Linked DNA regions of Arabidopsis thaliana. The protein of the gene in region 4 purifies or fractionates together with the protein of the main gene of each other region. This does not show direct contact. Each region holds a gene or a part of one and is shown on either strand. Other genes may lie near its edges.

Region 1 (4,563 bases), about 17 Mb from region 4:
TCCTCTTTCTTCTTGTCCTTCTTCTTCTCCTTGAGATCCCAGATAATGCCAACTTCTTCTTCAAGGATTTTTGTATCAAAGTAGTCATTTTCGTTACCAGGTGCAGAAACAGTCCACTTGGAGTAGTTGATAAGGTCACGTTCAAGGTTAAAGTGATGAATGGCATATGTGTATGCAACAGACACAGATCCATCCTTTTCCCATGAGACATGAGCCTCTTCTTTCTCCTTCTCCACAAGAACCTTTTCAACTCCCTCTTCTTTCCCTTGAGCTTCAAGTCCCTCTTTCCTCTCCTGAACCACACGTTGAACTCCTTTGGCCACTAAAGGATGCCAAAAATCCTCGAAAAGGAATCGAGGCTTTGGAGCCTAAGAGAGTATCTCTTTGTGAATAGTTTTAACAAGCACAGTGTAAAAATTTTCTTCCTTGACATTTTTTCTTCTGGTAATGAGAAATAAGATAAAAATTTGGAGAAAAAGAGGATGAAGCAGAAGAAGAAGTATGTAAAAAGAGTAGTTATAGGTGGTTAAACTTAAAGCTATCATTGTTGTCGTCTTGTATGGGGGAGGAACACTCAAAATCGTTTCACAGAGACTTGCAGGAGGTTTCTTATTTTATGAGGACAAGAGGTGAGAAGTAGAGGAAGCCCAAAGTTGGTTATTTTCCTTTTCAAGATTTTTCAACAATTAATAAGAAATATTATATGAACGTATCTTTAAATCAATTAATTATTAGCATTTGTTTTCATAAACCTTATAAGGCATCCCCTTGTTCTCCAAAACAATTACTGTCATCCTCTTTCTAAGTGAAAATTATATTTTTTTTTATCGTCTCTAAGTTGTTTAAGGGGTTAAAATACTAATTACAAAAACACAATCTAAAACATAAATAATAAATACGTTTATCTCTTACATATTTTTGCTGAGATTTTTTTATTAGAAGTATAAAGATTTTTGGGGAAATTTGATACTAAGGATCTTTTTTAGAACTAAAAAGGAAAACAAAAATATTTTACAAAATGATATATTTCGATATATAAAGTTTTAATGCAGTAATGAAACTCAAAATGATTGATAACACTTTCTAATACTTTTATGTTGCAAAAACAAAATCATGGTGCAAAATCCACTACTTTTATGTTGTAGTATATTTCTAGAAGAAATTTGGTTTCATGGTATATATTGGGTATTAAATAAAGATTGGACTATCTTCCCTTTGGCTTTGGTGTGTCATAGATAGTGATAAGAAATACCTCTTTTTTTGGGCATTATTTGTTGACAAACGATATAGAAAATTATAAACAAAATAAAGATCATTGGAAAAACATCATTTGACCAAAGATGTGTATATGTGTCCCAATCAGAAAGTTCATAACAAGTTCCTCTCTTCTCTTCTCAATTCTTATGCATCCACATCATCATTGATTTAATGCTTTTAAAAACAGAACATTACATTTATTTTTTTAAAAATGTATTACTTTTTGGACAATACAAGTTTGATACATATAACGGATTTCGCAAAATATTTCATGTTCTTTTTGCAAACAAATAATCCCCAAAAAAAACTAAAGGAAAAGAAATTCGTAAAGACCAAACTCGTAATAAAGAGTATATACTGTTTCCCCTTAAAAAAAAAAACCAACCTAAAATTAAAACCCGTGGGTTTAAGGATTTGATCTTTTAATGTTCACAAAATCGAGACCCTAAATTGCTCTCACACTCACTTCCCAATCTTCTTAGTTCAATTTCAATTTTTAGAATTAGAATCTCTGAATCCCAGATTCCGGTAGAGAAGATGAGTTTCGCGGCCTATAAGATGATGCATTGGCCTACCGGCGTCGAGAACTGTGCTTCCGGCTATATCACCCACTCTCTCTCCGATTCAACGCTACAGATTCCGATTGTTTCCGTTCATGATGATATTGAAGCTGAGTGGCCTAATCCTAAACGAGGTATTGGTCCTTTGCCCAACGTCGTTATAACCGCCGCAAATATCCTTGAGGTGTACATCGTTAGGGCTCAAGAGGAAGGGAATACTCAGGAGCTGAGGAATCCGAAGCTTGCTAAGCGTGGTGGAGTTATGGATGGTGTCTATGGTGTTTCTCTCGAGCTCGTGTGCCATTATAGGTACGTGTTTGTTGACAATTACCTCCTAAATTACTCCAATTTTGGTACTTTGACTTTGAAGTGACGATGTGATTGGTATTGGATTGTAGGTTGCACGGTAATGTTGAGTCAATTGCGGTTCTTCCTATGGGAGGTGGTAATTCTTCTAAGGGAAGAGATTCGATTATATTGACATTTCGCGACGCCAAAATTTCAGTTCTTGAGTTTGATGATTCAATTCACAGCCTTAGGATGACGTAAGAGTGTTTTGCTTTTGTTGGTTTTGGTAAATAAATAAATGAATTCAGCTTTAGTTTCAGCTCTGTCTCCTCTCAATTGTTTCTTTTGACCTATATACGAGATGTTCTGTGTCCAACTATTGTTTTAACTGTTTTATACTTCTCAAAGTTTTGGTCTTTACTTACGCATTGTTATTGTTTCTAGCGATGCAAGTTACGTAGTATTGGATCATATACTGAAGCGTTCTATTGTCTATGTCTGATTGTTTCTTCTAGTTATCTAATTTATGTACCATTGACTCCTATACATGACTTCAACAAATAATAATGGATATGTGGTTCCTTTTCAGTTCGATGCATTGTTTTGAGGGTCCAGATTGGCTTCATCTGAAAAGAGGAAGAGAGTCTTTTCCAAGAGGCCCTTTGGTAAAAGTGGATCCTCAAGGCAGATGTGGCGGCGTTCTTGTTTATGGTTTGCAGATGATCATACTCAAGACTTCCCAGGTTTTTGTTTTGGCATTATTAATCAACTTCATCTTAACTGTCGCTTTATCTGCTACAAATTTCCAACCTTCATTCTTTTCTTTTATGAACTTTATTTTGGGTTTTAGGTTGGTTCTGGACTAGTTGGAGATGATGATGCGTTCAGTTCTGGAGGGACAGTTTCTGCTCGAGTTGAATCATCTTACATAATTAACTTGCGTGATCTGGAAATGAAACACGTCAAAGATTTTGTTTTTCTACATGGTAGGTTTAGCAAGCAAGGTTTCTTCATAAACTTATCTCTGAATCAGTAGTTAATCATAAATATATTATGATGATTGTTTCTTAGCTGCTCAACTTGCATCGAATCTTGTGTCCTTGAATGGATCTAGCTTACTAAGTTGTTGTTTGTAGATTCAATACGACAACTGATGTATTCTGGTCATGATTACAGTTTGAAACAAGAGGAAATGTATTGTTTCTTTGATTTTTCAATAACTAGCTGTCTGAAATTTTAGATATTCTAGTTTTCCCAGTAGGCATAAAGAATAAACTAAGTGGTGCTTCTTTTGATTATGTGTTTTTGCATCCTGTGTCTTCTTCAGGTTATATTGAGCCTGTAATTGTCATCCTTCAGGAAGAAGAGCATACTTGGGCTGGGCGAGTTTCATGGAAGCACCATACTTGCGTGCTTTCTGCCCTTAGTATCAATTCGACATTAAAACAACACCCAGTCATCTGGTCAGCTATTGTATGTTCGTATTTTCCTCTTTGTATCTTATAATAGATCTCTTCCCAAGAAATTAAATATTTGAGTTGCACTATTAACTATATTGTAAGCTAAGGGTAGAAATTGAAGTCATCTAAAAGGTTATTGAATATCCACTGTTGTTACATGACTAGACTTTCCAATCAGCTATGACGATGCTCTATTTTTTGTTTAGAATGCTCAAAGAGTTGATCTTTCTTTAGGAAAAATTTCCTAAAATAACAAGCTATTTCATGACTGAAATAGTTACTTCGGCAAACGTTAGTCCCTGATCATACTTATTCCCATTCTTTTGGTATTTTCCAGAATCTGCCCCATGATGCCTACAAACTACTTGCAGTACCATCTCCGATCGGAGGTGTTCTTGTGTTGTGTGCAAATACAATCCATTATCATAGTCAGGTAGTTTTATATTACTTAGCTTTTGGTTGTTTCTTGTTTAAAATTCAACAATTCCAGCCACTCCACCTCAAAGTTCTACAGTTACTCACACATCTGGATACCATATATATTTGTAGTCAGCCTCCTGTGCTCTGGCACTGAACAATTATGCCTCCTCAGCTGATAGCAGGTACAGTTTTCTCGCACCTCCCCACTCTTCAAAACCTGCTTCATGCTTATGGATATAATCTTGTTACCTCAGTCTTAGTTTAGAATCCTAAAGCTTAGAATCAACTTTCAACATTTGTAAAACTCTGTTTATACTGTTAACCACATTTCTATCTCTGTGTGCGTCTGATTTCTTTCAGTCAAGAACTGCCTGCATCAAATTTCAGTGTGGAGCTTGATGCTGCCCATGGAACCTGGATATCGAACGATGTGGCCCTATTGTCGACAAAATCTGGGGAATTGTTGCTGCTGACTCTTATATATGATGGGCGGTAGTATTTTGATCTTCTTTAAAAAAAAATCTTCTGACGCTTGTAAAGCTGGCTGCAACTTATTTTGTTTAAAATATGTGAAACTG
Region 2 (5,961 bases), on a different chromosome or scaffold from region 4:
TCTAACTCCTAGAGATAAATTTTCAGATGTCACCTCATACATTATAGAAGTTATTAGTCCCATTACATACCTTGAGAAAACACCCTTATGCCTCGCTCCCCCATGAGTCAACCTATAATTTTCTGTAATCTGAAGGCTACCCCAGTGTGAAATCTCAATTTCACGCACAAGCTCCTCAACAACAGCAAATGGACTGTTATTCTCGAAGTGAATGATGACAGGTGTGTAAGAGTATGAAGCACGATTTTCATATGGTCCATATTTGATCTCTTTGCCAGCCCGGTTAGCAGGTTCAATGCTAGTGAACGACTCTACTCTAGTACTAGGAGTCTTAATAAAAGTTGTCTGTTGCTTAACATGATACGGTGACAATATCACTGCACTATCATGATAGTAAACCAATTGAGATTCTGACTGGGTTATCTCCACTGGGAAAGGTTCCAAGGAATGAGTCAATATGTAAAGCACCTCAAGTGAAACAGTTTCACCCGGACCTAAGGGGCTAATAAACGTAACACGGTAGTATCCAGTGTCATTTGGTGCATCAGGTTGTTCAGTTGGTTTTACATCTAATGGCAAATAAGTTTTCTTCTTCTTCTTGCCAGTAGTTGCCAGGGCTTGTACCATAGCCAAATTCTTGATCTGGGTAGGTGGGAAAGCAAGAAGCATTTCTGCAGCAGGATCTTTCCCAATATTTTCAACCTGAAGAAAGAAATCCAGACAAGAAAATGTCACCTCCTAATAGAAAAACTTAAAGATGATGAAGGAGAAAAGCGATAATATCAAATTAACTGTCACAACGAATCAAAGCCACTAAAGTTCCAACCTTTACAACAAGTATCACTACAATAAACTAAATTTGACTAAAAGAAAAACAGCTGCAGTTTCATATAACATATCCAAAAAAGCTTTAATTTTCCAATTCTAAGTTCCAACCTTCCAGTGTATATTCAATAGGAATAACTATTATAAACATTTGCTTATAAATACCTTGAGAGTCAAGAAGGCCTTCACGATATGTGAGCTTAAATCAATCTGTAGACAAAAACAAACACAAAGGAGAAGCATTTCAGTTTCGGGCAAGAAAATTTTGCAAACAGGTTCTATCATTAGACTTTCTAATTACTCAAATCAAACGTATAACTGATGAAAAGTCACACTATCTATCAATGTACATACATATGAAGCCTATCGATGATGATCAACCATGAAGTGACCAATCACACAGTAATTCTACAAACCGAGTATAGATCGGAGAAACAGCAAAGCCCAACGGCAACTTCATTAACTTGAATTTCCATAAATCGGAGAAACGGGATCCATTAAGGAAGTTTATGAATTGTAAGAAGAAGATAGATCGGAGAATCTTACCCTTCGCTCGGCATTTACGATCTGGAGATCCTGAGCTGAGGAAAATGCAGAAATAGATAACAATACAGCTACGAAGACGGAGAAGATCCCGATACGAGCAGCCATTTTCGTCACTGCAGTAAGAACAAAACTCAAATCAACGAAAGAGCTCAGAGATGGTGAATTGATAGGATTTGGAAGATCAGTAAAAAATTACTCACCGATGAAGACAGAAACAGCAAGAGAGATCGTGGATCGTAAATATAGATACCGACGGCGGAAGGAAGAACGTCGGCCGGCGAAGTGAGAATGATCCGGTCAACTACAAAGTCTCAGTGTCTCTCACTTCTCTCTTGATTTAGGGATTAGTTACGAGCTTTTTTCTTCCTCAGATTAAAAACGACATGAGACGTTGTCGTTTCAAACTTTTAAATTTAATGGGCCGTGAGAAGAACTATTATTGGGCTTCACACCACAAAAATATCGACGGTTGGATCAGACACGTGTAATAACTCCGAACGGTTCCGATGTCACTGAACACTTTGCCGCCATTCAAATTCGTTTGTCGACCTAACTCTGTTTCTTCTCTCGCCCCCTTCAAAATTTTCTCCGGTCACTTGAATTTGTGTTCTGATTCAACGAGTAAGATATTTTTGACCATCGACGAGTTTTGAAACTCAAATTGTTGTTTATTTCTTCAGTAACTATGGCTATCGATTGTCTCGTACTTGGTAACAGTTTTTGTTCTTCTTCTTCTTCTCTCTTTGCTTCTTCAAAGTTTCACAATTTCAATTTCTGTATAATTCTATCTTTTTTGTGTTGTATCCAGGTGCTGGACAAGAGATTGGAAAGAGCTGTGTGGTAGTGACGATTAATGGTAAAAAGATAATGTTCGATTGTGGGATGCATATGGGCTGTGATGATCACAATCGTTACCCAAATTTTTCTCTCATATCTAAATCCGGTGATTTTGACAACGCGATCTCTTGTATCATCATCACACACTTGTATTGATTCTTCAAACCCAGAATTTGTCCCTTTTTTAAAATTCACTTTTTTAGTTTTTGTGGGTTTTAATTGTGAGTGTTAATAGCCATATGGATCATGTTGGAGCGCTTCCTTACTTCACGGAAGTTTGTGGGTACAATGGTCCGATTTATATGTCGGTGAGTTATATTGTCCTCAAGGTGTTCGATGAAATGTTTGACTGACTGTTTTTTTTTTGTGAAGGTAAAGGTTGTTTACTTTGATTTGTCTCTTTTGTAGTATCCCACAAAGGCTTTGTCTCCATTAATGCTTGAGGACTACCGAAGAGTGATGGTGGATAGAAGAGGCGAGGAGGAGCTATTCACCACTACCCATATCGCAAACTGCATGAAAAAAGGTACTTGAATATTGGATTTAGTTCATTTGAGGTCTTTGTGCACGAATTCAGATGCAGTGTCTATAACTTGACTTCCTCTTGTTTTTTTATATGTAGTAATTGCAATAGATTTGAAGCAAACAATTCAGGTTGATGAAGATCTTCAAATCCGGGCTTATTATGCAGGGCATGTAAGACATTCGTTCTGGTTTTAGTGAATTTCTTTCTGTGTTTTTTATATTCAGAGTTTCTGTATTTTTTAAAGCTTATTTTGTATTGATCATAAGGTCCTTGGAGCAGTGATGGTTTATGCAAAGATGGGAGATGCAGCGATTGTGTACACTGGAGATTACAATATGACGACAGATAGACATCTAGGAGCTGCTAAAATTGACAGACTCCAGTTGGATCTTCTCATTTCAGAGTATGGAAAACAAATACAAACTTGTTCGCTGGTATTTTTCAACAAACTTAGAAAGAACAAGTTTACCTGATATAGGTTTAACTATGCCGTTTTAGGTCCACATATGCAACTACCATTCGCGGCTCAAAATATCCCCGGGAGAGAGAGTTTCTTCAAGCTGTATGTCTACTTGTAACTATTAACACATGGTTTCTAAATTTGTTCTTAAATGGTTTTTGATTATAATTACCCGCATCACCTTTGGCTTGTTTCTGATCAATATACCCCTTCAGGAAATGCTTAAGCTTTCGTTTGGTAATTGTCTGATATCTCAGAAAACTCTTCCAGGTTCATAAATGTGTTGCTGGCGGAGGGAAGGCGCTGATTCCTTCATTTGCTCTTGGAAGGGCTCAGGTCTGTCTTCTTACAGAGCTTTGAAGTCAGTTACTTAAACTTGTCTTTGCTTCTCTTATGTCTCATTGACAATTGCGTTTCCTTTTTCAGGAACTCTGCATGCTGCTTGATGATTACTGGGAACGCATGAATATAAAGGTTCCAATTTACTTCTCATCAGGTCTGTTAAATCACCACCAATCCTCATATGAAATCAATTCTGCAGATTAGTCAGCTCAACAAAGTCGTGACTCTATTTCATGAATAGTGATCTCTATCTTCTGAAAATTGCTGTCCCTGAAGATAAATTTGTACTTTTGCAGGTTTGACCATCCAAGCAAATATGTATTACAAAATGCTCATCAGCTGGACAAGCCAGAACGTTAAAGAAAAGCACAATACGCATAACCCATTTGATTTTAAGAATGGTATGTGTACTACCATTTGCAAATAACTTTAGAACGTTGAAGATGAAATTTATATCATATGGAACCGAAACTCTGATGTGCTTGAAAAATAAGAACCAAACTAGTGGTTCTAATACATCCTTTGCGTCCATTTTTTGTTCTTATCCACTACCTTAGCTGTACAACTCTGCTTGCTTTCTAACTACTACCTTCACATTCTGCAGTTAAAGATTTCGATCGATCTCTTATACATGCTCCTGGGCCATGTGTTCTCTTTGCCACACCTGGTATGCTTTGTGCTGGCTTTTCACTTGAAGTGTTCAAGCACTGGGCTCCTTCTCCCTTGAATCTTGTTGCATTACCCGGGTACTATACCTATTGTGTTTCCCCTTTATTAGCAATTCAGTTTTTTCCTAGCATAGCATCTAACACGAAATTGTATCTCTTTTCATCCATTTATGGATCCGTTTTTTACAGATACTCTGTGGCTGGGACCGTTGGGCACAAACTGATGGCTGGTAAACCCACGACGGTTGATCTCTACAATGGCACCAAGGTCGATGTCCGTTGCAAGGTTTGTTTACTCTTTCTTCTGGTTCTCACAAAATTTATGTAACCTTAACACGAAAACAGCAATGCGTCCAATTCACACGTTGAACCTAAACTAAAATGTCTTGTTGATTCTGTTGTTATCAGGTACATCAAGTGGCTTTCAGTCCTCACACAGATGCAAAAGGAATAATGGATCTCACAAAGTTCCTTTCCCCAAAGAACGTTGTACTCGTGCACGGCGAAAAACCCAGCATGATGATTCTTAAGGAAAAGATAACCTCAGAGCTTGACATCCCCTGTTTCGTCCCTGCCAATGGCGAAACAGTTTCATTCGCTTCAACCACTTATATAAAAGCAAACGCTTCTGATATGTTCCTAAAAAGCTGCTCCAACCCGAATTTCAAATTCTCAAACTCTACTCAGCTCCGTGTTACAGACCATAGAACCGCAGACGGGGTTTTGGTAATAGAGAAGAGCAAAAAGGCAAAGATAGTTCACCAAGATGAAATCTCTGAGGTGTTACATGAGAAAAACCATGTGGTCTCTTTAGCTCATTGTTGTCCAGTGAAAGTTAAAGGAGAATCAGAAGATGATGATGTTGATCTAATCAAACAATTGTCTGCAAAGATCTTGAAGACAGTGTCTGGTGCTCAGATCCATGAATCTGAAAACTGTTTGCAGGTTGCATCTTTCAAGGGCTCTTTGTGTCTAAAAGACAAGTGTATGCATCGAAGCAGTAGTAGTAGTAGTGAAGCTGTGTTCTTGTGTTGCAACTGGTCTATCGCAGATTTAGAGCTTGGCTGGGAAATCATCAATGCTATCAAACTAAATCACTGATTCTTGTAACACTGAGAAGTGTTTTCAGTTTTTGTCGTTTTTCTGTCGGCATATGTAAAAGTTTTGATCCTAGTAAATTAAATTAACCCAGTAGTAACTAAACTTACCAACTTTAGCGCCAATTTCTATCTAACAAAGTAACACCCGTATTAAAAACCGGAACCAATTACCCGAAACTGAATCTGAATCCGAAAATTTACTTGTGTCCTAAATTCTTCTACCCTAAAAACCAAATCTGAAGTCGAACCCAAAAATACATGAATATTTTAATCAAAAATTTAAATTTTATTCGAAATCCGAAAAATTTGCATATTTACCCGCAAAATCAAGTATGGTTCTAAAAAAGGCCTAAAATCTATACACGAACCGATATTTTAGATTTACCCTATAGAATCCTAAACTTCTCTACCCGAAAAACCGTATTCGATCGAATTTTACCCGAATCCGACCCGTTTATCCGAATGGCCACTCCTAACCGGATCCTTTAAGGTTAAAGACGTACGACTTATTGTGATAATGATAATTAACTTATAAGACTGTGTCTAATCTTCAATTAATGTTAATTAACTAAAACCATTTTTTAAAACTGTCCGCCATGGCTTAGCGTTTTCTAGAGCAGAGAGAAAGAAGAATCTCAATTCTCTTCGTTACTAATG
Region 3 (5,768 bases), on a different chromosome or scaffold from region 4:
AATATTTAACATAATTTCTGACAGAATTCGATGACCTAGCTCGAAACTAGACGAAGAGTTTCAAAATCGAGGGTAAAATTGAGTGAAGAGCTAAGAGAGGAACTAGGGTTTTGAGGAGTACATACTCGTCGAGGGCGTCGAGATAGATAAGAATTCTGGTGTAAAGCTCGGAGACAAAGTCGGAAGTTGGGGTTTTGAGATCGGTCTCTGTAACGCTAGCGATTTGAGCATCCTTGAGCGCCGTGATAATGTCGGAACGAGAGAGCCTCGGGTACTCGTAGGCTGACATAGTTTTCAGTTTTGGTCAGGTTCGGATTTGTTGTGTCTGGATTCGAAGAAACTGAAAATGACAATTTGGAAAGAAATGAAAAAAAAAAAAGAGAGCCTTTGATTTTAGTTGGGTCAGGTTCGATTTGTTTTTTGCATTTGCTTTTCCCGCCTATATGAAACTGCAGTCTCTGCAGATATTGATGCATATTTGGATACGGTAGAACGTAGAAGCTTTTATAAATAAAATTAAAAAAGAAACTTTAATCTACAAAAAAAAAAATTAAGCATTTTAATATTGTAGAGATTTGGTCTTAATATCTTGATGCACTAGACATCTTGCCAAAACATAGAGGTCAAGAGACATTCACTGATGTGAATAATGTATACTTTGTACGTGGAAAAATAATAGAAAATGTGCTCATTACAATCTCTCTTCTACCTTACTTTAGCTCAATCAGACCTGCCTTGTACTTTAGAGGCTTGGTAGAAACGCATCAAACGACACCGTGTATTCATGAAACTGCAAATATCAAAAGCAAGGCTCACTAATATGTCTTACAAAGAATCTGGAAGAAGCCTAGTACTTTTTTAACTTTAGAAACCTCTTAACTTGATGCACCACAAAGCTTTTGCTTCCATATCCTAGATCAGCATAATGATAGAAAAATGCATATGGGAAAAGCACGAATCAGCAAAATGATTTATGAAAAAACCTAAAAAAGTTAAAAACTCATAGTTGATAACATCCATAAGACTTGATCATTATCACAGTAGGGTAGTAGCAAAGTTTCTCAATAAACACCTTCTTAAATAACATCCATTAGACTTGATCATTCACTATTACTAAACATGGGAACAGAAACATCATCAGATGGATAAAACTCTATGATGATTTAAGATACCTCAACGATGACTTTAAAAAGCTACTAAGAAGCTGAGAGAGGGATTGGTTTCACAGCGCTCTGAATCCGCTCAAAAGCTACTCTCACTCTTTCCTTAAGACCTGAATGCTCACTCTCTACCTCTCCACTCTCTTTATCCAGCTGAGCGACATTGCCATCGACCCTAATCACCAGTTTCCCGTTTTCTCCTAGTTTCACATCCCCGAAAAGCGAAACAAGAAGTGCGTATATCACTTTCTCAACTTTCTTCCCGTTCTCTTCCTCGGATTTCACAGCATCTTCTTCTTCCATAACGATCTTGGGGACTTCTCGGCTGATGTTGAGAATCAGAGCTACAATGGAGTCTGAAACCATGTCACTTATTGGATCTGATGACCACTGAAGTGAGATGTGCTTCTCTGACTCTTGTTTCACCGTTACTCTTTCATGAACTTTCAGTGCTGGAAGCCCCGATTCCTCATCTGTTGAAAATTCCACGCTCTCGAAAATCTTCTCCAGGCGATGTTTTATCACACCAAAAGCTCCTACAAACGGGATTGTAATTCGCTGAGTTACAGTTGCTGTTGATAGCTGTGAGAAAACATGGAGTTCGTCAGGTGCCATTATCTGATAAGTGAACCCTTTCTTCACCAGAATCCCGCTTACTGTATCGCCAACATCAGGTGTCTTTTCCGCCAATCTCCCAATGGTTTTCGCCAATTTCTCAGAATTAAAATACATTTCCACTGACTCACAGTTCTTCGGGGTCATGATCTTTGTGTTTCCATCAGGAAACTCTGTTAAGAGCTTCTGTTTGAGCCTCATCATCTCGTTAGCTTCACCGTGAACAAGGATGATGTTAGGAGGCATGAGCTCTTTCAAGAACGTGCTCGTCTGCGCGTAATCTGCATGAGCAGAGAACGATATATAGTGCACTTGCATGTTGAGCGGAGCAGTAAGACCATTCATAAGAGTCACCTCCTTTGGTTCATTAATTATCGTCTTGGCCAGTGTACCTTCCACCATATAACCTGGTATGATACAAGCATTCTTCTTATCTGAACACCAGCTGTCAAAGAGTTGCCTTGAGAGACCGCTTTGAAGACCTCCAGGAGTAGCCATTACCACAGATGGACCGACATCATTAAAATCATCGATGCTGTTTAATGGAGAAATGTGCTTGAACACAAACGGATTAGAATTTGCAAACTGGTTGCGGATTCTGTCGTTCATAGATAATATGTAGGTTTGGTAAACCGCCATACACTTTTTGGCGAGTGGTGATGCATAGTAGATTGGGATATTGTGTAGATCTGGGTGGTTCGCCCAGTATTCATCAAGAATCAAGAGAAGTTCCTGAGCACGGCCCAGTGCAAAAGCCGGGATCAGCACACGTCCACCCTGAGCAACCGTTGAATGGATTACATCAGTGAAGCGTTTCTCACGAATATGACGAGATTGATGAAGCTGGACACCAGAAGTGGATTCAATGATGCATATGTCAGGGGAGAATTGAGGAAGCTCAGCTGCTCTCAGATGTCGGTCTTCCTCACGGGAATAGTCGCCTGTATAGAGGATTCGGACACCAGCTATATCCACCATAAACATGGCTGCACCCAAAACATGGCCTGCCGTGTAACACCAGAACTTTATGCCATTCACTTCAACTGTTTGATGGAAGTCAATTACCTATAGAGGAAATCAAATATAAACCTTAACTCAACAATCACAGTTTTGAAGCAGATTTAATTTCTTTTGAACTTATCCCAAACCTAGTGGAGCAGTCAAAGTATAAACATAGTCATAGAATATAATGCAGTACTAACCTCAATTTTGTCCATAGACTTGTTGATGTCTTGTTCATCGAACAACATATCTTCCACAGACACTTTGCTCACTTTTACATAATCTGTAAGCAACAGCTTGTAGATGGCCTTTGTTGCATGTGTCATGAAAACCCGCCCATTGAATGTCGTCTGATCAAAACATCAATAACCTGAATTAGTTCTCAGCTATGTTTTAACACATCCCAAAAAACAAAATCATTTTGAAAAGAGAAACAAACCTTCTCCAGAAAATAAGGTAGAGATGCTGCATGATCTATATGAAAGCTGCAACCAAAAGCATCAACACATTATATGTTATCTTAACCCAATAAACCTCTTACACAAAACACAAACTCTTTCAAGTAGACAAACAGAGACAGAACAAACTCTAGCCTCCTACAAGCTTGAACTAATTAATCCAAGAAGGTCTCTCTACTACACATCATCCTTCTGTTTTTGTATAAACAAACTTAAACTTCGAAGATTTTGCTCAAATTATCATTCTATTCAAATCAAGACTATCATTTTCTCTTCAAAGTTTCAATTTTTCTTAATGGGTATTAGCCAAAAGAGGAAGAAGAAGGAAACATACTGAGTAATCAAGAGGACATCAATGGAAGAAGGATCAATCTCATCGAAGTAAGGCAACGCAGCCATGCCCGAGTACGCAGGATGAATCCCACAATCAAACTGCACAACACAACCAAAATCAACTATAAGACATGCCCCAACAACAAAATCAAAACACATTTGCTTGATTAGAACAAAACGGAGAAGCTGACCAGAATATTTTTGCCTCGGAAGGACATGTAAACACAGGAACGACCCACTTCACTTCCGGCTCCTAACGGAGTAACGATAAGTTGATCTCCATCTCGCGAAATTGGTTGCTCTCTTCTTTTCAGAGAAGTAGAAGAAGAAGCCATGTTTCGTCTTTCTCGATTTTCCTCCAAGAGAAGAAGAAACTCAAAGAACTGAGTACAGCAATTTCAGTTAGTGTATATCTTCAAACCCTAAAAGCCTTTAAAAAAAAAAAAACGACCACAGTGGGAGTCGAACCCACGACCTTCTGATCCGAAGTCAGACGCGCTAATCCACTGCGCTATGCGGTCAATACATAGCAATTGAAAATATTATATTTATATAGAAAGTCATATTATATACCGAAAATACCCTTGTCTTATTTTGTCACTCAAATCTGCGAACGAAGAGAAAATTCGAAGCTTTCTCGGCGATGATGGAGCGAACTTACGGCCGTCGCAAGCCGGGGATGTTAAACGACGACGTCTCGCGGGCGGAACATATTTTTCCGTCTTCTTCATCTCCAGAACTCGAGCCAGTTGATTTCTCAACTCAAGAATCATCTTGTGTCTGGAATTATTCTTCAAGATCCACTTTTTCGGATAATGATTTTTCTGAGAAGAGGAACAAGAGACCCAGAAACGGTGGTGGAGGGTTTGGTTCGAATTCGACTTTGATGGAGGCTCAAGAGTTCGGCGAGTTAATTGAGAATGAGGACGAAGTTAACTTCGCTCTTGATGGGTTGAAGAAAGGACATAAAGTTAGGATCAGAAGAGCTGCTTTGTCCTCTCTACTCTCGATTTGTGAATCTCAGTATCAGCGACGCTCTTTGAGAGCTTTAGGGTATGTTTATTTACTTAAGATTTTCAGTATCTTCCTTTCTAGACTTTCTAGGGTTTGTTTGAAGTCGAGTTCTTTTAAAAGTTTCTGAATTTTGTTATTTCAGGATCTCACAGTCCATAATTGATGCGATTTTGGGTCTTTGCCTTGATGACATACCAAGCAATCTTGCTGCAGCTACCCTTTTCTTTGTGCTAACTACTGATGTAAGTAACTTATTTGCATTGTGAAATCTGCTTGTGATGCTCTTTTCTCTTGCTCCATTGGCATTTTTCTCTTGTTTACTAGTTTTATGTTCATGATTCTAGGGTCAAGATGATCACTTTATGGAGTCACCCAACTCCATCAAGTTTTTGGTTAAGCTGTTGAGACCTGTGGTTTCTGCCAGTACTAAAGTAAAGCCGCGGAATATAGGATCTAGGCTCTTATCAATAATCAAGGATGTTGATGCAGCACGTGATGCAGCCAGTATGCATGATTTAAGCTCCTGTGATATAATTGACAGAGCTCAGGAAATTCTTGTTAATTGCAAGGAGTTGAGATTGATTGATAGCTATAAAATCGAGAGGATGAGGCCTGAGCTAAGTACGAAATGGGTAGCTTTGTTGGTGATGGAGAAGGCGTGCTTGTCCAAAATCTCTTTTGATGGTACTTTAACTTCCTGTCTGTTTTGCTGGAACAATGACTAGCTAACTATTTAAGACGCATCTGGTATATTATATTGAGTTATAGAATTGGAAAGTTATGTTATCTGCTTCAGTGAATCAGTTTAACAAATGTGTCAGCGGTAATAGAATCCTACGACCAGATTATAATTGATTTATAAATTTCTAATTATTGATATTATCATTCCCCATCCAGATACCTCTGGTACTGTGAAAAAATCTGGAGGAATGTTCAAGGAGAAACTGAGAGAACTTGGAGGACTTGATGCTGTCTTTGATGTTGTTATGGATTGCCACACTGTAATGGAGGTGTGAACCTGTATGTTATAGGGATCTTGCTATATATGTCTTTATTTGGCTAGGACGTCAATAACTTGTGTAAAGTGTCGTAGATTGGTAGCTTTATAATTGTTTGCTATCTTCAGGTTCATGTTTTATTTCAATCTAATTTATTGCTGAAAATCGTTGCAAGTCAAGGTTCTTTT
Region 4 (7,671 bases):
CCAAGCTGAGCAGTTGCAGATTTGCTTGTCCTCGGTTGCCCCGCCTTCTCCTTTAAGAGGTGCTGATTGGTACCAATGGAAGCAGCCCACAGGTACTTTTTCTGAAACATTCTCTTCGAAAGGAACTTGGATGCAAATTAGACAAATTTCTCCTCATGTGGCTTGGCATAAAGCTGTCTGGTTTAAGGAATCTGTCCCAAGGTTTTCATTTATCCTTTGGATGGCTTCCCATGAAAGGTTGACAACGAGAGATAGGCTTTTACAGTGGGGTATGAATGTACATGGTTCTTGTGTTCTGTGTGATTCTGGCCTTGATTCCCATGATCACTTGTTCTTCAAATGTGAGTTTTCTAGATCACTTTGGATTTCGCTCGCTGGAAGGATTTCGCCGAATCCTCCACTCTCTTTACCCTTGGCTTCTATGTGGGTTCTTGGTGTACATTCTTCTCCGCCGCACTATGCAAGTAAGATCTTAAAACTTCTTCTTCAAACCGCTGTTTATATGATTTGGAAAGAGCGCAACCGCAGAGATTTCTCAGCAGATGCTACCTCTCTCTCCGCTACAAAAATTCTCGTTGATCGCACAATGCGTAACCGTCTCATCTCCTTCTCGCCGGAGGAATCAGTTACCACTATCTCTCTCCTTGGATTCTACTTTGGTTGTATTAGTACCCCACTATAGGTGTGGCAAAGCTCATATTTATGTATGTATGGTGTTCCATTAGTCTCTCTTCACAAGAGCTCGGTGTGTTTTTGGGGTTTCATTGTACTATGTAAACCTTTTTTCATTTGGTATAAATCTTAACATTAAACCAAAAAAAAAAAAATGTTGAAACCTGTTAACATAGTCTATTTATACTCTATAAGTGCAAAACAGGGTTTTAACATGATTAAGTTTCGTAGTGGAATATAATAGCGGATTGGGATTGTGTTTCATATAGCATTGCCATTGGGATGTAGTGAATCTTGTTTGGAATAACGTATATCGATTTTTTTTTTTTTTTGTTATTTGGGAGATTTTAAGTTCTAATATGACAAGATTATAACATTTAATTTAACATTAAACCAAAAAAAAAAAGATTGTAACATTTTCTGAATTTTTGTAATTCGTTTTACTAGTGTCAGTTTTTTTTTCTTTTACTTTTAACTCTTTCAAATATTTAGTTATTTTAATGTTTTAAAAAAAAAGACTAATTTGCATCACCACTATCTTTGGGTTGAATATTTATTCAATATGTTCCACTATGAATACGTGAATTATGTGTGTGTTTTCATCTACAATTCATACACACACTCTGTCATGATTGTGAAATAAGCAGTAAAACAACAACAATACTAGAAAAAACCACACTTTGGGACATTAGAGTTCGATGTGAATACAATACTAGGATTTTCTTAATGTTAATGGCGATGCCTCTATTCATTCTTCTTCCTCTTTCTTTTATAGTCGTCCTTCACGTGTCCTGCCCGATCCGCAGTATCCACCCTAGAATCTCGTTGATCTCAACAGTTCTTCAGATCTTTTTCATGCCATCTCGCGGTTAGTTGCTTAAGATACACTCCTCGAGCTTGTTGATCAACCGGAAGGCCGACGGATGGGTTTACTAAACAAACTCATCCGTTATTTCCTACTCGCAATACATAGTTCAGCCTGAACATATGTGTCTAATTGATAGGGTAGGCCAAGTAACAACATACACCCAAAAAAAAAAAAATAAAAAAAAAAATAAAAAAATCGTGGAGATTAAAAAAGCTAAACCAATCGACTTCTTGATTAGTTTGATGATTTTATTAATCTTATCGGTTAAAACCGACCGGCGATCGAGGGTTTGGCTTGCCGAGAAGGAAGAAAAAAAAACCCTAAGATTTATTTCTACTCTTCACTCCATTATCGACTTCTCATCATTTCTCTACCCATTGTACTTCTCTGCTCTTGGGTTGTCATCAATTCGCGAATTTGATACACGCACACCCTAAAGAGAGATCCACGCTCGTTTCAAGGTAACCTAAATTCGAACACTTTCGCAGTTTCCCTTCGATTCGAATAAATCACTGTTCTCCGTGGGCAACAATGTACGCCGGCGGCGATATGCACAGGGGTTCACAGATGCCACAACCACCGATGATGCGGCAGTCGTCAGCTTCTTCCACTAACATCAATCCCGACTACCACCACCCATCTGGCCCCTTCGACCGTAAGTAGACTTTGAGCGTCTTCCTTTTATCGGATTAGTGATGACTGTGAGATTTAATGTCTCTCTGTCTGATGTTGCAGCCAATGTAGACAGTTTTGGGGCGAAACGAATGAGAAAGCATACACAGAGAAGAGCTGTTGATTACACCAGCACCGTTGTTAGATATATTCAGGTAATGTATTCCCATTGCTGCTCACAGTATTTCTTTGTTAGAACCTTTTGTACTGCTTGATTATATTTCTCTTGTTTTCTGTAAAGTTTTAGTCTTGGTCTATATACTCATAGCCTCTGCTTTCCCCAGTTGAATTCTTCGGTCCTTTTTATCTCAAAAGCCATTAGATAGGATTGTCTTTATGTCATGGAACTGATATGGATATGTAGTTCAACGAACTCATACTTTATATGGAACTAAAAGTAGAGAGTGTTTACTCCATATATGTTTTTGTTCAGGCTCGAACATGGCAGCGAGACTCAAGGGATAGGACCACTCTGCAACCAACCCCAGCTGCAGCAGTTGATGTTAGATTTCTTTGCTTTTCTGGGTTTTGCAATAAGATTGAATGGTTTACTGATCTAACTTTTATATCAATGCTTCAGATGCTTCCCACAGTTGCCTATTCGGATAATCCTTCAACAAGCTTTGCTGCAAAGTTTGTTCACGCATCTCTAAACAAGAACCGTTGTTCAATCAACCGTGTATTGGTATATCCCTCTACCAGCTGTGTGTTTTGTATTATTCTCTGTTTGCCATGTTTATCTATTCAAGAAAGCAACATCTTTCTTTCTTTGTTTTAACTCTATTATGCCAACTTAATGGGATCATTGCTGATTGGGTTTCTTTTATTTAGTGGACACCTTCAGGAAGACGTCTTATCACGGGCTCCCAAAGTGGGGAGTTTACTCTTTGGAATGGGCAATCTTTTAATTTTGAAATGATTCTTCAGGTTCGTTTCTCAGATTGTATAACTAATCTGTTGAAACTTCTGTTTTGATTCTTCTATAGTTGCTGCTCCTGGTATTGACTGTTTAAATTTGTTGTCAATATCAGGCACATGATCAACCTATTAGGTCGATGGTATGGAGCCACAATGAAAATTATATGGTTTCTGGTGATGATGGAGGCACATTAAAGTAAATTTGTTTTTCCCTTTCAGTCCCTAACTTATGATGTTGTAAACGAGAAGCTCAGAATTCTATGATTCAAATGCTGTGACAATAAGGATCAATTGTTTCTTATGTATCAGGTATTGGCAGAACAATATGAACAATGTGAAAGCCAATAAAACTGCTCACAAGGAATCAATTCGCGATTTAAGGTAAAAAAAAGTTTGATATGTTGAATTGCATTAAATGAATCTCTCAAAACTGAACAATGTGTATCCAACAGTTTTTGTAAAACAGATTTGAAGTTCTGTTCGTGTTCTGATGATACGACTGTTAAAGTCTGGGATTTTACCAAGTGCGTAGATGAAAGCTCATTAACCGGTAATGTTATTTGAACAGATTGGCGGCAGATACTTTATTTCTTTGTTGCTTGCTCTTCTAATTTGAATTTAGAAGGCCGCTTGAGATGTGCTGTACGTTATTAGAATTGGATTCTTAGGCTACATAGGAAAAGGTGTCATTGAGATTCGCTTTGGTGTCATGCCATGTAACGTTAGTTAGTTTTAAAGGTTCCAAATTGGTGCTTATAACAAGTTTCCTATCCTTTTGGAGGCATGTTTTCACAGTTTTCTTCATATTTGTAATATTTGAGAACTTTCGAAGTAATCAAAGGGTTCTTTATATTTTGAACTCAGGCAGGCCATGGTTGGGATGTCAAGAGCGTTGACTGGCACCCCACAAAGTCCCTACTAGTTTCTGGTACATTATTTTATAGACTTCTATTTGAATAATGCAATAAAAAGAAACCGCTGTATATTTCAGAGCTTCTCTATGGCTGATCATTAACCGCTTTAATCTGTGTTGTCAGGTGGAAAAGACCAACTTGTCAAACTCTGGGATACTAGATCTGGGAGAGAGCTTTGCTCACTGTAAGTAGTACATAATGTAATATGTAATTTTATTATAGTTTCATGTTCAAAGCTTTGACGAATTTGATGGCCTATTCTTACTTCTGCAGCCATGGTCACAAAAACATAGTACTTAGCGTGAAGTGGAACCAAAATGGCAATTGGCTTTTAACGGCCTCGAAAGATCAGATAATTAAGGTAAGTCTCACTTTCTTTTGGGTGGGGGGGGGGGGGGGGGATATTGATTTGTAAATGAGATTTTTTCCTTGCATTATGGAAGCATTTGTATGACACTTATGCATGTAATCTGCAGCTGTATGATATAAGGACTATGAAGGAGCTTCAATCCTTTCGTGGGCACACGAAAGATGTAACATGTAAGCTGTCAAATTCTATAATGATCATGTTTTAAACACGTGAAATCAGACAAACTGGCCGCATCAAATTACTTTTCTGTACATTGACTAGGACTCTAGAGTATATGCCTTTGAAAGATTATCATTGTACCCATGCTTTACTTGTCGACATATGAGACATTATCCCATGGATGCGAGTTTTCAATTTGTTTCTTCGATATTTCTAATTTGCAACTATTTCTAATTAAAAGTTGTCTTAACTCTTTTTAAGCTTTGGCGTGGCATCCCTGCCATGAAGAATATTTTGTCAGTGGGAGCTCTGACGGCTCCATTTGTCATTGGATTGTGGGGTAGGTACTGTTGTGCAGCAGTATGCTGTTTTATTTATTCGTTCATGCTGCTATTGTTTTAATCACTTATAAGGGTTTTTTAAATCATGTTTCTTCTCTACATTTTATATTCAGTCATGATGCATCTACATACTAGTAGTCTAGTAGCATCTTACTTTACCTTATATTTTGTGGTTTTTGTTTGAGGTGTATCTAATTATGAAAACTTTTCTTAATTCCCAGGCATGAAAACCCGCAGATTGAAATCCCAAATGCTCATGATAACAGTGTTTGGGATCTTGCATGGCATCCTATTGGATATCTTCTTTGCAGGTAGCAATTTCAATAGTCTGGTGCTATGAGTTCCTTACAGTTTTATTCTATGATGTGTTGTGGTTCCCTGTGCTCTTGAATAACTAAATGCTTCAGATAATGATTTTTAACCCTATTATCTGCAGTGGTAGCAATGATCACACAACCAAGTTTTGGTGCAGAAACAGGCCTGCAGATAATCCCCGAGATGTTCTTATGCAGAACCAAGGTTTGTTTTTGGGCTATTAGTATCTGATTTTTTAGTAGGCATTGGGATGGATAGGTTGTGGGTAGTACATAATTACTATGTCCTTATCCATCTCAGTAGTAAGGATGTTGTGATAGGCTTAACTGGTCAGGCCCTGGCAGGGTCAGTCATATACTCCTATAATGGCTGGTTCGAAATGGACCTTGGCTTTTTAAGGTTCAGGCTCGGCCAGCCATATGGCACCGTGATTAACTGAATTTTTTTGTAGAAAAGAACAGACTTGACTGGTCAAGCTGAGCTGATCTGATATAGGTGCAGATTTCTACAGGCTTTAAAAACTCAGACCCAAGTACTCGGTCATTAGTATCTCACTTACTGTTTTAATTTTGAGCATGTACTTTCAAGTTGCATTTGTCAGAAATTAGTGTTTTTTATTTAGTGTTTACTAACAAATTGAAGATGTGATTTGTGTGTACTGATAAGCGTAATTTGTATCAGGCTATAATGAACAAGGTTTTGGTCGCCAACCTGATAATTTCCAACCATCTGAGGCATCGCCAATCCCTGGAGCATTTGTGCCTGGGTTGACACGGAACGAGGGGACTATCCCAGGAATAGGAATAGCAATGCCATTTGATGCATCCTCTCAAGGGGATCATAAACAGCCTCTTCCAGGTTCCATGGCACTGGGGGCTCCTCCTTTGCCACCTGGTCCCCACCCATCGCTTCTTGGAAGTGGCCAGCAGCAAGGGTATCAGCAACAACAACAACACCAAGGTCATCCCCAGCAAATGCTTCCAATGCCCAATATGCCTCACCATCAGCTACCACCATCATCTCATATGCCATTGCACCCTCATCATCTTCCCCGGCCTATGCAAATGCCTCCTCACGGTCACATGCCACCTCCCTCAATGCCTATGTCTCATCAGATGCCTGGATCAATGGTATGGCCCTCAGATCTCTTGTAATTCAACCACAACTTAAGCCTGGCTTTTGTCGGTACCCCATGTGTTGGATTCCTCTTTGTTTTATTTTCTTAGTGATATCTTAGAGAGGTGTAGAAAGAGATATTAATCCTCACTTGTTGTTGGAGTAGGGAATGCAAGGTGGCATGAATCCTCAGATGTCGCAAAGTCATTTTATGGGTGCTCCTTCAGGAGTATTTCAAGGACAACCAAACAGTGGCGGACCCCAAATGTATCCCCAAGGACGTGGTGGTTTCAACCGTCCACAGATGATTCCAGGCTACAACAACCCTTTCCAACAGGTCCCATTTAAACACTAGTCTTTTGTTATTTAGTATACCCGTAAAGGTTTCACATGTATATATGTGCAAATAGGCAAAATGTCTACACAACAATGCAAAACACCTGATACGATTGAACCACAATACAACTTTCTCAGCTAGTTTTAAACTCACTAGCTAGGTTCAATGGTATGATTAGATGTTGAAAATGTAGAGCTAAAATAGCATAATCCGTTGACTAATCCGTTGTCTATATTTTATTTCGTGCAGCAGCAGCAGCCACCTTTACCTCCTGGCCCTCCACCAAACAACAATCAGCAACATCAGTAGGCAGCCGTTGTATTAGTACATTAGTTTACAACCGCACTGTCTGCGGGATAAAACGATTGAAGTAAAACTATTATATGGGATTCAAATTTCGTTTCTATAAAACAAAACATAAAAAAAAAAGGTTTTTGTTCTGTTCCAATATGCAAATAATTTGTATTAGAATTTTTTGCACCCGTAAAATATTTGAGCATAGTAACAACTTCCATGTGGAGAAAGTATTGATGAAATACTATGATTTATGGCACATGTCTTTTTTGTATTTTTAATAATTAAATTCATATATTTTATGTTAAGTGACCACAGTCATAATACTCTAGTTTTGATACTTAATGTGAACAAGTTACGAAGTTTTAGTGGCTTCACATGTCAAATACTCTAGTTTTCGTTAACCCGACAAACTTTTTTTTTTTTTTTTTTTTTTTTCATAAATTTCCAATTAACCAAAAAAAGTTGCAATACAAAGCCAAAAGGCCAACACAGCACGCAGGCCTGAAAGAACAAAAAACAACCAAATACAAGTTTAAAAGGCTAGATCAAAGGCAGAAGCCCAGAAGACCCAAGCCACCACAGCAGACGGCGAAGGAGCTAGAACACCAAAGCCCGACCCTTTGAAAACCTGCACAAGGAGAAAGCATCAGACTTGAGGAGGATCTCTATTGAGGAAGAGAGAAAACCAAGAA

What was found.
Region 1: the proteins of FY (region 4) and CPSF160 fractionate together in Arabidopsis thaliana (co-fractionation; 3 studies listed by BioGRID, with this or other methods). This does not show direct contact.
Region 2: the proteins of FY (region 4) and CPSF73-II purify together in Arabidopsis thaliana (affinity purification with western blotting; one study listed by BioGRID). This does not show direct contact.
Region 3: the proteins of FY (region 4) and CPSF73-I purify together in Arabidopsis thaliana (affinity purification with western blotting; 2 studies listed by BioGRID, with this or other methods). This does not show direct contact.

Annotation. Positions count from the first base shown.
Region 1 is NC_003076.8:20,978,456-20,983,018, forward strand, and holds the start of CPSF160 (cleavage and polyadenylation specificity factor 160), read left to right. Parts: upstream 1-1,549; 5' UTR 1,550-1,794; coding exon 1,795-2,126; intron 2,127-2,215; coding exon 2,216-2,362; intron 2,363-2,694; coding exon 2,695-2,848; intron 2,849-2,955; coding exon 2,956-3,091; intron 3,092-3,432; coding exon 3,433-3,578; intron 3,579-3,902; coding exon 3,903-3,998; intron 3,999-4,114; coding exon 4,115-4,167; intron 4,168-4,345; coding exon 4,346-4,477; intron 4,478-4,563. Other genes in the region: AT5G51650 (uncharacterized protein), read right to left, coding at 1-368, 753-794. UniProt on the Arabidopsis thaliana protein: CPSF plays a key role in pre-mRNA 3'-end formation, recognizing the AAUAAA signal sequence and interacting with poly(A)polymerase and other factors to bring about cleavage and poly(A) addition.
Region 2 is NC_003071.7:318,541-324,501, forward strand, and holds CPSF73-II (cleavage and polyadenylation specificity factor 73 kDa subunit-II), read left to right. Parts: upstream 1-1,892; 5' UTR 1,893-2,056; coding exon 2,057-2,081; intron 2,082-2,179; coding exon 2,180-2,357; exon of another isoform or gene 2,358-2,443; coding exon 2,444-2,516; intron 2,517-2,616; coding exon 2,617-2,734; intron 2,735-2,830; coding exon 2,831-2,904; intron 2,905-3,000; coding exon 3,001-3,137; intron 3,138-3,232; coding exon 3,233-3,296; intron 3,297-3,464; coding exon 3,465-3,530; intron 3,531-3,620; coding exon 3,621-3,690; intron 3,691-3,832; coding exon 3,833-3,937; intron 3,938-4,140; coding exon 4,141-4,282; intron 4,283-4,393; coding exon 4,394-4,490; intron 4,491-4,612; coding exon 4,613-5,305; 3' UTR 5,306-5,423; downstream 5,424-5,961. Other genes in the region: AT2G01720 (Ribophorin I), read right to left, coding at 71-702, 991-1,035, 1,372-1,476; RIE1 (RING-finger protein for embryogenesi), read left to right, coding at 5,959-5,961. UniProt on the Arabidopsis thaliana protein: Component of the cleavage and polyadenylation specificity factor (CPSF) complex that play a key role in pre-mRNA 3'-end formation, recognizing the AAUAAA signal sequence and interacting with poly(A) polymerase and other factors to bring about cleavage and poly(A) addition.
Region 3 is NC_003070.9:22,473,758-22,479,525, forward strand, and holds CPSF73-I (cleavage and polyadenylation specificity factor 73-I), read right to left. Parts: upstream 4,009-5,768; 5' UTR 3,904-4,008; coding exon 3,760-3,903; intron 3,668-3,759; coding exon 3,570-3,667; intron 3,263-3,569; coding exon 3,217-3,262; intron 3,128-3,216; coding exon 2,978-3,127; intron 2,841-2,977; coding exon 1,197-2,840; 3' UTR 1,173-1,196; exon of another isoform or gene 913-1,172; 3' UTR 873-912; exon of another isoform or gene 791-872; 3' UTR 510-790; downstream 1-509. Other genes in the region: AT1G61000 (kinetochore protein), read right to left, coding at 126-289; AT1G61030 (WAPL (Wings apart-like protein regulation of heterochromatin) protein), read left to right, coding at 4,212-4,621, 4,725-4,824, 4,927-5,266, 5,480-5,592. UniProt on the Arabidopsis thaliana protein: Component of the cleavage and polyadenylation specificity factor (CPSF) complex that play a key role in pre-mRNA 3'-end formation, recognizing the AAUAAA signal sequence and interacting with poly(A) polymerase and other factors to bring about cleavage and poly(A) addition.
Region 4 is NC_003076.8:4,325,958-4,333,628, reverse strand, and holds FY (Transducin/WD40 repeat-like superfamily protein), read left to right. Parts: upstream 1-1,657; 5' UTR 1,658-2,001; exon of another isoform or gene 2,002-2,071; coding exon of another isoform or gene 2,072-2,107; coding exon 2,108-2,195; intron 2,196-2,275; coding exon 2,276-2,367; intron 2,368-2,576; coding exon 2,577-2,714; intron 2,715-2,792; coding exon 2,793-2,897; intron 2,898-3,043; coding exon 3,044-3,139; intron 3,140-3,243; coding exon 3,244-3,326; intron 3,327-3,439; coding exon 3,440-3,511; intron 3,512-3,582; coding exon 3,583-3,680; intron 3,681-3,998; coding exon 3,999-4,058; intron 4,059-4,167; coding exon 4,168-4,228; intron 4,229-4,317; coding exon 4,318-4,405; intron 4,406-4,520; coding exon 4,521-4,584; intron 4,585-4,834; coding exon 4,835-4,913; intron 4,914-5,135; coding exon 5,136-5,225; intron 5,226-5,350; coding exon 5,351-5,433; intron 5,434-5,910; coding exon 5,911-6,359; intron 6,360-6,511; coding exon 6,512-6,682; coding exon of another isoform or gene 6,683-6,700; exon of another isoform or gene 6,701-6,850; intron 6,851-6,931; and 4 more.